Linked DNA regions of Caenorhabditis elegans. The protein of the gene in region 2 purifies or fractionates together with the protein of the main gene of each other region. This does not show direct contact. Each region holds a gene or a part of one and is shown on either strand. Other genes may lie near its edges. The genes, in order: cox-4 and T26C12.1.

Evidence for each region.
Region 1: the proteins of T26C12.1 (region 2) and cox-4 fractionate together in Caenorhabditis elegans (co-fractionation; one large-scale study listed by BioGRID). This does not show direct contact.

The regions. Positions count from the first base shown.
Region 1 is NC_003279.8:13,657,499-13,660,839, forward strand, and holds cox-4 (Cytochrome c oxidase subunit 4), read right to left. Parts: upstream 1,631-3,341; 5' UTR 1,614-1,630; coding exon 1,482-1,613; intron 1,431-1,481; coding exon 1,301-1,430; intron 1,250-1,300; coding exon 984-1,249; 3' UTR 673-983; downstream 1-672. Other genes in the region: sac-2 (SAC domain-containing protein), read left to right, coding at 1-304, 351-641.
Region 2 is NC_003282.8:3,256,768-3,264,070, reverse strand, and holds T26C12.1 (2-hydroxyacyl-CoA lyase 2), read right to left. Parts: upstream 5,162-7,303; 5' UTR 5,151-5,161; coding exon 5,004-5,150; intron 4,753-5,003; coding exon 4,594-4,752; intron 3,530-4,593; coding exon 2,202-3,529; intron 1,972-2,201; coding exon 1,872-1,971; intron 959-1,871; coding exon 770-958; 3' UTR 578-769; downstream 1-577. Other genes in the region: T26C12.2 (DUF2085 domain-containing protein), read left to right, coding at 114-220. UniProt on the Caenorhabditis elegans protein: Endoplasmic reticulum 2-OH acyl-CoA lyase involved in the cleavage (C1 removal) reaction in the fatty acid alpha-oxydation in a thiamine pyrophosphate (TPP)-dependent manner.

The DNA.
Region 1 (3,341 bases), on a different chromosome or scaffold from region 2:
TATTGTAACCTATGAAATCGATGGAGAAAAGATGACTGATGTGCAAATCGTTGCGCTGGAAGATATCAATACTATTCAAACAGGAACATCTGGAAATAATCGACAATGTGCTCGACTGGAAACTCTCGAAGGTGTATTCATTTGGAGGCCATCTACTGTTCGGTTATTTAATAATACTGCAATCCGTCTGAAATCCTTGGAAGAAGCCAATGAGTATATTTCGTCGGTCGCTGAGCAGATTCAGGTTGGCAGGAATATGCTGACTGGCGCTGAAGGTTCAGTTGTTCCGGTGGCAAAGATTACGGTTTGGGTGGCTTGAGATTTTCAAAATCTAGAATTAGAAGTTTCAGATCCCTCAAATGTCGGTTCATAGAAAATCGATGGCTGCGATGGGTGCACTGTTCGGGAAGATCAAGCGAGTTGGGAAGCCATCCAGTCTATCGAAAAGTGCTTCCACAATTTCAACTGCTCAACTTCCAGAAACCGATGGAAACGAATCGGACGCATCGCAAAAATCGGATCACTTAATGACGAAAATCCTGAAAATGTCACAATTTAAATCAGATTCTCCCCAACCCGAACCATTTTCCTCGCTACTACCCGCTATCTCCGAGTGTCAAACTAAAATTTCACTTTTGTAAAGAAATAAATAAATTATTGCCTCCTGGATTTAACAGCAACATTCAATCTATTTATTTCTGGTTTACAGGGCAGCCCATCTCTCAAGAAGCCGAACCACTTGGAAAATTTGAAGAAAAAATTGGGGGAGACGAAAGAATTGGTCAGTGCGTTCGACCGCTAGGAGAGATTTACAGCTTATCTAGGTTTCAGATGAGGGTTGGGGCGATGAAGAAGAAGGTAAGCTTGAATGTTTGACGAGAGAGTGATGGGGCGGGGGGAGCGACGACAACCAAGAGAGAATTATAAAAACGAGAAAGAAGCTACAAAAAAATTTTATTTTATTTCTGCTGAATCTCTATATTTTACTTCCACTTCTTGTTCTCGTAATCGTAGTGTGTCGGTGCACCGAGGAATTGTCCCTTCTCGAGCACAAGCGCACGCTCAACCTGAGCCTCCTTGTACTCGTTCTGGAAGGTTGGCGGCAGTTCTGGGTACACGCAGACGTTGAGAAGAACAGCATAATAGGTGCAAAGTCCGAGCACGGAGAGGATAACGGCGGAGATCACCTTCCAGTATCCGGTTGGAGCCTCGAATTCGGACAGCGTTTGACGGAAGCTGTAGCGGTACACTGAAAACTTAGCAACATTTTCAAGTTTGTCGAGGAAAATTGAATACTAACAGAGCTTCTTCTCCTCAGCAGACAAGTTCTTCCAGTCGGCTTGCTCCTTGGCGCGAATTGGGGCAATCACACTGTCCTCCTTGCGGAATCGAATAGCTGGATACCAGTAGTCGAGACGATCTTGGTAGATCTGAAAAATAAATTAATTAAATTTAAAATTTATAAAATAAACAAGGCGTACGTTATCTCCATTTGCTCCGTATCCGACGAGCTCGCGTCCAGCGGCCTTATCGGGTCCCCAGTAGAATTCCTGTCCTCCGGACAGACGGGCGGTGGTGTGCACTGCGCGGAGAGCCAAACGTGGCAGCATCATTTGACGAGCCAACATACCTGAAATAAATAACTGGTTTATGGGTTGAAAATGCAGGAAAAACCAAAAAACAAAAGGTAAATCCGGCGTCAGTGTGGAGAAATGAAAAAAACATACTCAAATGAACTATTTTCATAATAAAAATGAATTTCTAAAGTAATTTCTAAAGTGGCCGACGGAAAACACCGATGGAAACGTGGAAGAGGATAGTTTTAGTCAGAAACGAACAAACAACAGAACACACGGGTGCAATATATTAATAATCAAAAACCGTTCTCTCTTCGTGTTTTAAGGATTAAACTAGCCGGAATACGAACAAACGATGGAAATATGTGGTTCCTTTTAATTTTTGCATAAAACTTGGCAAAATCTCCAGAAAAATCAATAAATTGGCAATGTAACAACGGCTCGCCGTTGCGGGCTGTTCACTCCGTAAATCGTGTTGACTGAGTAATCAACGTTTTACACGCGTTCAAGTACGCAGCCAATTGAGTCCAATAGAGCGCTCTTGCTTTTTGAATCTTTTGGGTGAAAAATTGAGAAAAACTTTTTATAAAAAAATTTATAAGCTCAGGCTTTGGATTTTCGCTTTTTGCGTCGAAAAATCGCCTCTACGGTGCTGGAATTAATAATCGGTGGGATTTTCGCAGGAAATTCTCTGGAAAAATCGATAAATTGGCGATTTTGGCCCAAAAACTCTGAAAAACGCTGGATTTTTCTGAAAAAGGGCTTTAAATTTGTCAAGATGAGCGGAAGAATCTGAAAAATCGATTAAAAAACTCAAGAAACTGGAAAAAAATCGAAAAAATCAGTTTTATTGCGTTTTTAAATGAGTTTTCCCAAAAAAATTGGAAAAAATACGATTTTTCATTGAAAAATTGAATAAAAATACAAAAATTAGGGGGTTTCTCATTATTTTTCCGAAAAATCGATAAAACGTTGCCAAAAAGCTTCAAAAAGCAGATTTTTAGCAGTTTTTCACTGAAAATCCTCAAAAATCCCGACTTTTCCGAGAAAAAACAACGAAAATTCGATAATTTCTTCCCAAAACCCTTTTTTTCTAATTTCTCACAGAAAATTCTCAAAATTTAAAAATCTACCTATTTTAAACAATTTTTCTGAAAAATTTGAGAAATTTCATGTTTTTCGCCAAAAAAAAGCCATTTTTTTACGAAAAAGTGCTCTAAAAAATCGATTTTTCAGCGAAAAATCAAAAAAAAAACAGCTGTTTTTATTGATTTTTTTTCCCTAATAATTGTAAAAAATACCAAAAAACCCTCAAAAATCACGAATTTAGCTTCCAGATCGGTGGCCAATTGACGAATATCAACAAATATCAGGATTATTATATATCCGCAAAGAAAATCAATATTCCCGGCGACGAAATTCTCGAGATTTCGTCCGGTAGAGCGCACTCGCTGATTCGAACCAATTTGGGCGTTTTTGCGATTGGTGATAATAATTTTGGGCAATGTGGACGGAATCCTGAGAATATGGATTATGTTGTGGGCTCTGAAGGTACAATATTTGGGATTTTTAGCTAAAACTAAGGCTTTTAGGCTTTTAGAGCAGCTTTTAGACCCCAAAAAAGCTGAAAATCGAGCTCAGCGTAGTTTTTTACCCCAACACTGCAACTTTTTCCTCACGAGGGACGAGGAAAAGTGGTTTCTAGGCCATGGCCGAGGGGCCGACAAGTTTCAGCGGCCATTTATCTTGCTTTTTTTCCGCGTG
Region 2 (7,303 bases):
TCATTTTTAGTAGATCACACGTAGATCAAACCGACATGGGACACTGTACCTATAGGAGCTTTAAATCTAACATATTTGCTCATTTTATATTGAAAAAAATCAATAAATTTCAGTGGATGAGCACGCTCTTCATATTACTCGAAACTTCGTCGCCGCTCTCCAATATCACATTGCAAACCGCAACGAATACCTGGCAGCAATTTCCGAAAAAATCGAATAATAATTTTTTTTTCTTCCGTAATTCTACCCTGGCTGAGCCAAAATGAGCTAACTCCTACATTTCAGCGAATAAAAGACAAAAAAAATAATTCCACAGTTTATATTAAATTTAAAAATGAGATTATCCAAACTCGCCCTAACGCAACCACGAATGGTGGACTCCTCTCGGACACTAAACCTTTGTCATTGCTAAAATTACTCAACGCAAGTTTTTGGACCTCGAAGTCGAAAAAAAAAACTGAATTCAAATAATTTCAGATTCCCATTTCAAGTGTTCAGATTCAGGTTGAATTGTGCTGCTATGATTTTTTGTTTCTAGGCTGAAAAACGTTTTTTCGTGTTGAAGTCTGAGACTGATATTTGGAATTGCTAACGCAACCAGATTTATTGAGTAAAAAAAACTAGAAAACCGTACATTTATATATGAAAAACAAAAAGAAAGAGAGAAAAATCGGAAAAAAAAACATATTTCAAAGGAGGAATGATGAGTTTGGGACATAAACGAGGATCATTGAGCGCAAAAAAAAAGAGAAAAAATTCGGCGGCACAGCTACACAGAAATTGATCCCTCTCTGAAATCAGTCTTTCCAATGAGCACATTAACGAGAGCCGATTGTTCTCCTGATCGGCAGACAGCGAGAGCTTCATCAAGGATCTTTCGAGCCGAATCGGCGTTCGATTCATCGATGGTCTCTCCCCAGGATCCGAGTGATTTGGCGACGTTGTCGTAGCGAGTTCTCTGCAAATTTGGGGATTTTTTTTTAATTCCAAAAAAATTGGAAAATTTCCAAAAAAAAAAAGATTTGTTGACTTTGAAAAAACATCAACTTGTCGATTTACGCAGCTCGTGTACTCCTCGTGGAGAAGACTTTTTTGTTGTAATTTTCGTTGTCCAGTAGAGAAATGACAAAAACATTTATTATACGGGAACACAAAATTCTGATAATGCGTATTGTGCAACATATTTGACGCGCAAAATATCTCGTAGCGAAAACTACAGTAATTCTTTGAATGACTACTGTAGCGCTTGTGTCGATTTACGGGCTCTATTTGCGCAATAAATTTGAATTATACCATTTATCGATGGAAAATTAAAAAAATTAAGAAAATGGCATATCGCTGCCGCTATTCGAAAATAAATTAATTTCAAAAATGGAGCCCGTAAATCGACACCAGCGCTACAGTAGTAATTTAAAAAATTACTGTAGTTTTCGCTACGAGATATTTTGCGCGTCACATATGTTGTGCAATACGCAATCTCAGTATTTTGAGTTCTCGTAATAATTTTTGAATATTAAAAAATCGATATTTTCCGTTTTTTTGTTTAAGTTTCTGATTTCAAAAATTAAAAATTGGTTTTTTTTCTCGAAAAATTTCAAATTTTTCAAAAAAAATTTTTTTTGATAATTTTAGGTTTGTGTTTTTTTCAATTAAAAATAAATCGAATTTTTAATTTTTTTTTGATCGAATTTTTCGAAAAATTAAATATTTATTTTTTTTTTCAATTTTCTTTAAAAAATTGTGTTTTTCGTACAATCGAAGTTTTTAAGAAATTCAATTCTTAAAAGAAAATTTTTGAAAAAATCGATTTTTTTCCATTTTCAAAATTTCGATTTTTTTTTCGATTTTTTAAAGCAAATTCGAAGACTTACAGCCAAATCAACAGCCACAGAGCTCTGGAACATTGGCACTTGTTCTCTGGCGATTTGTGTCCAGCACGCGTCATTTCCAACAATTCCGATAACTGGCAATCTGGAAAAAAAAATCGATTTTAAAAAATTCAGAAAAACGGAAAAAAAATCGTTTAAAAACGCGAATTCCTACCAAAATAAGAGCTCCGAGCAATAAACGACTTCAAACTCCGCCCACCACTTCGTCTGATTGGTTGGAAAGTGGGCGGAGCGAATCGCTGATTGGTCACAGTTATTCATTTTGGGGGGAGTTTAAACAAAATCGAGTTTTTTTCCAGCTATAAAACTCACTTGTGTCTAGCAAAAGTGTCATATTCCATCAACGAATATCCGCAGGATCCGTCTCCCCAAATAATGTACACCGGACGCTTCGGATAGACAGTCTTGGCTCCAAGAGCAAAACCTCCACCGACTCCAAGTGTTCCGAATGCTCCAGGATCGAGCCATTGAAGTGGTCCTCGTGGGCGAACAATGTAGGCAGCCGAACCGACAAAGTCACCTCCATCGGCCACAAGGATCGCATCGTCGGGAAGTGATTGATCGAGAGTTCTCAGGAAATTCAGCGGATTCAAGAAGCCATTCGTGAGCTTTTGCTCCATTTTCTTTGCATTCGCCGACTCCTTCTCATCGTCCTTTTCTCTCAGCGATTTCACCCATTCTGTAGGCGTAGTAGTGTGATTGGCTCCAAGAGCATTGGCCACTTGGACCAGTGATGTCGCCACGTCGGCTTGAACAGAAACATCCGAATTCCAGAAAGCCTTCTCGTTTTTCGTAAGCTGACTGGAATTTCTATTGAGTGCTACAATTTTCGACTTCTTCGACAGAGTTCGGCCATAGCTCAAACGGAAATCGCAAACTGTTCCAGCCAAAATGGTCAAGTCCGCGTCTTTAAGCGCATCTCTTCTCACTTGACGCATCTGAAGTGGATGATCTTTGCCAAGAAGACCACGAGCCATTCCACCGAGGAAGACTGGGCAGCCGAGAGCTTCGACGGCTTTAACGAGGTCAGCCGGCTTAACTGGAGGCAGTGTTGCCTGGCTTCCAATGAGAAGAACCGGGCGTTTCGCCGACTTGACGAGTTGAACGATTTCCTGGATTTTTTCACTTTTCGGCATTGGAATGTTCGTTGGGAGTGGAGTGATCGTCTGTGGAGCCCATGCGTTTCCGAATTGACGAGACACGTGGCAACGGAGATAGAAGTTGAGCGCCCGTTGGATGAATCCCTTGGCATTTGGATTGAAGCCAATCTCCTTGACAACAAGCTCATACGGATAGAGAACATCAACTGGAAACTCGACGAACACTGGTCCTGGGCATCCGGATTTGGCGGCCTTGATAGCCTCGCGAACAGTTGGAACAATGTCGCGGAGACGTTCGACACGGGCCACATATTTACAGAGTGGACGGAAGAGGACCATTTGATCAATGTCCTGAAGAGCACCTCTACCCTTCAGTAGGGTTGGTGCGGCTCCTCCGATGAGCAACAATGGGCTCTCGGCCATTTGGGCATTCTTGACGGCTGTGATGGTGTTGGTGAGTCCCGGTCCAGCGGTGACTGCGGCCACTCCAATTGATTGACGAAGACGAGCGACTGCGTCGGCGGCAAAGACTGCGGTGACCTGGAAAATGGAAATATTGTTGCATTTTTTTGAAATGAAGGTGCAAACGCGCTCCACGGCTATTTGAAAACGGTCCGCCTCCAAACGTTGGGTCTCGCTATTACGTGAACACAAAATTCTGAGTCGGCGTATTGCGCAACATATTTTACGCGCAAAATATCTCGAGGCGAAAACTACAGTAATTCTTTAAATGACTACGGTAGCACTGGTGTCGATTGATTTAAACAATTTTTTATTTTTTATTCATTTCAAAAATCGAGCTCGTAAATCGACACAAGCGCTACAGTAGCCATTTAAAGAACTACTGTAGTTTTCGCTACAAGATATTTTCGCATGTTTCCGTTGTTTTTATTGATTTTTATGCCGAAATTTATAAACAAATCAACTTTACATGAATTTTCTACATATCAATTCGACGTAAAAATCATTAAAAACAACGATATTTTTTTAAGGCGAAAAATATTAGCTAAACCAATTGAAACATTTGAATTTACGGTTTTGCCGCTAATACCTAACGAGACCCAACTGTGGGAGCACGGATTTCTGGCTTCCCACGTGGTGTCAAAGTGCCTCATTTTGGTTTGATCTCCGAGAAATGCGCGGAGAAGAGACGCAGACTTTTCAACTGATTTCGCATGGTTAAGAGCGTGCCGAAGTCAAATTTTTCTGGGGAAAAATTCCCGCATTTTTTGTAGATCAAATCGCAAAGAGACATCCTGACACCACGTGGCTTCCCTCATAAATTGAAATGGAAGAGTTTGGCGAACTAGGCCATTTTGGCTCGGCCATATCTGGGGTAGATTTACGGCGCGTTGCGTGTCGCGTCACGGCTCGATTTTAGTTGTAAAACTAAATGTATTTGTCCGTGTGGAGTACACGACACTTCCCCACGCGTTTTCCGGCAGCCAATGGAGCGCGAAAAATTCAATGAGGAAGGACAGAACCCCGTTCTCGTGGCTTTGGAGCGCGATTGCATTTTTATTTCAAAATGCACATTTTTCTCAATAGAGCGCGTTTTGCACGCTCATTTCTCTCTCTCTCGTTTTTTCGGCCAATTCCTGTACCTCATGTCTAGTATCGACAATCTTGATTCCGAGCTTCTCGGCGGCGACAAGAATCGGCGAAATGTGACCTCCACAGAGCACAAAGATTTCTTCGACATCGTGAGCCTTGAGCACAGAAGCCACGAGCTCCCCTCCGTGGCGTTTCGACTTTTCGTCCACCTGAAAAAAAAAAGATTTCACCGTTTAACATTTAATTTTGACATCTATTTATGTGATTTTCAGAGACTCCGAAATGAAATCATGGCTTTATGTCCTACGCGATCTTAATAATTCAAAGGTGGTTCTTCACCTGTCTCAAGCACAACAGAGACTTCCTCGATAACTCAAAAGTTGCTAGAAAAATCATTTTCACATATTTCTGGACGAAATTACTGGAAAACGGGCTGTGCTGAAATTTATTTTATTTTCACCTGGAACGCATTTGACAACACATGTTGCCCGTTTCCGCTGCCAAGAAGCTTCACCATGCTCGTGAGCTCATCGGTGCTCCGGACATCTAGCCATTTCCAGAGAAGAAGGCCAATGATGATGGCAGCGATTATGAGGAATAGTACCATGGTTTACCCGGCTGAATATTAACATCAATTAAATGAAATGAAATATGAATTAACAATAAGTTATTATGTAGAAGAACAAAAAGTTTGCAAAAGCGGCAAGTGTTTTATTTGTGATATGTTGTATGCTGGTGGGTGAGCGATGGCGGTGATAAGAAAAAAAAAAGAGAAAAAATGGAGAAAATATAGATGCATGATCAAAAAAGAATAGACTCTGTTGTCCGAGGTATTCTTTGATAGAATGGTGTGATAAGGGGCGAAGGGTAAAGTCCGAATCAGCGAACCTGTATGAAAATAGGTAGGTGTAGCCTCTGCTACAGATAGATAGGCGGATAGGCACGTGGGTAGGCAACCAGGTTTTATGTAGGCACAAAGTCGCTAGCCTCTTTACCTGCCTACACACCTTTCTGCCTACGTGGCACATTGGTAGGCAAGAGGGCATGATGTAGCAGTGGAGATGGACTGCCACGAAAAGCTAAGGTAGGCGCGTAGGTACGCACGTAGGCAGCCATGATTTGACGAGTATGCAAATAGGTATGAGTAGCTTTCTACGCCTGTCGATATTTCTGTTTAAATACAGCATGCCCACATGCCTACCCACGTTCGTATCGCATGCCTACGCCTGTATGTCTGCCTAACTTTGTGCCTACACTGTGCGCACATGGATGCCTAAGTAGGTAAGGATAGCAGGCATGTCCTAACAACGTAGGCATGAGACCGTAAGACATGCAAGTAGGTAGGCGTAAGCATGTAGCTATATACGTCTGCCGTCGCTACTGCCTGCCTACATGCCTGCCTGACTATCTACATGTCTGCCGTTTGCAGTTGTGCCTACGTGGCGGCCTACCTATGTGCCTACGCTATGCCTACGTATCTAGTTTGCCACCCCAATATATGAGTGCCAGGTATTCCAAAGAATCTTAGTTCAAAAACATATATACATTTTTGTTCGCAAAAAATTCTCCCGTTTCAAACATTTTCCAATTTCAACTGGTCAAATAGAGCATCGTATCAATAGGTCCGCTCGTGTCTCCCGGCAGGGGTGTGTCAATTGAACAATGGATGATTCCGTAAAAAATGGGGGGAAGGGAAAATTTTTTTTTTTGAGAAAATGATGGTTGAACTGGAAGGGGGGGGGGGGGGGAGAAAAGCGATCGTTTCATTTTTTATTCTGGTTTCATACATCGATGACTAATCACCAGCTCCTCGCGCTTTTTCATCATTTCAGCAACTTTTCTCATTCTAGCACAGTTTTCCAAACTTTTTTATTTCTCTTTTATCAAACTTTTCGTCTTAGAAGCTTGACACGTGGTCCCATTACGGTTTGATCTACAAAAAAATGCGGGAATTTTTTGCCCAAAAAATGTAACTCTTAACCATGTGAAATCAGTTGAGAACTCTGCTCCCGCCTTATTTGTAGATCTACGTAGATCAAGCCGAAATGAGACAATCTGATATCGCGTGGCTTGAAACGGGCCTGAGAAGTATTCAAAAATGCGCTTCCAGTTCACATTGCTTCTCTAGAACCTAACTTTTTGTATGAATCTCCTATATAAAAGGTCTTCTTTCAAATTCCATAGCTCTATGTCTAAGGTGTCTAAGACCTGCTGAATACCCTTCTAATTGCATCACACACACTTTATACACCTTTCAAAAAACAAGCTGATGAGTTTCATTTTTGCTCTTCTGAACGCTTGACAGCATGACATAATAATTCGTCGAGAAAAAAAAAGATTGCCGGAGAGAACAAAAATATGTAGTGTATCGAAGGAATACAGCTACGAATCTCGCGGAATACGACTTGTCGTATACGTATACATACACACACACACACACACACACGAAGAAAAATGTTCAAAATGAGCGGAGAGATGAGAGAAGAGAAAGATATTGTTCCCGGCGGGATGGTGTCCTCATTCTGCAGCTGTCAATTGTTGTCACCCGTGTAATTTGCGCAAAAGTGTTGATTGCCAAGAATACTGATACGAGAGAAAACCGATCGAGTGTCGATTTACGCAGCTAGAATCTAAAATGGTTGATTTCGGAATCACAAAATTATCGGGTAAAACTTCCTCCTTTTCTCATATAGGAGTGCACAAGGTGCACGACCATTGCTTCATTGTTGAAATTGAAGGAGGCTGGGAACCCGGACATGG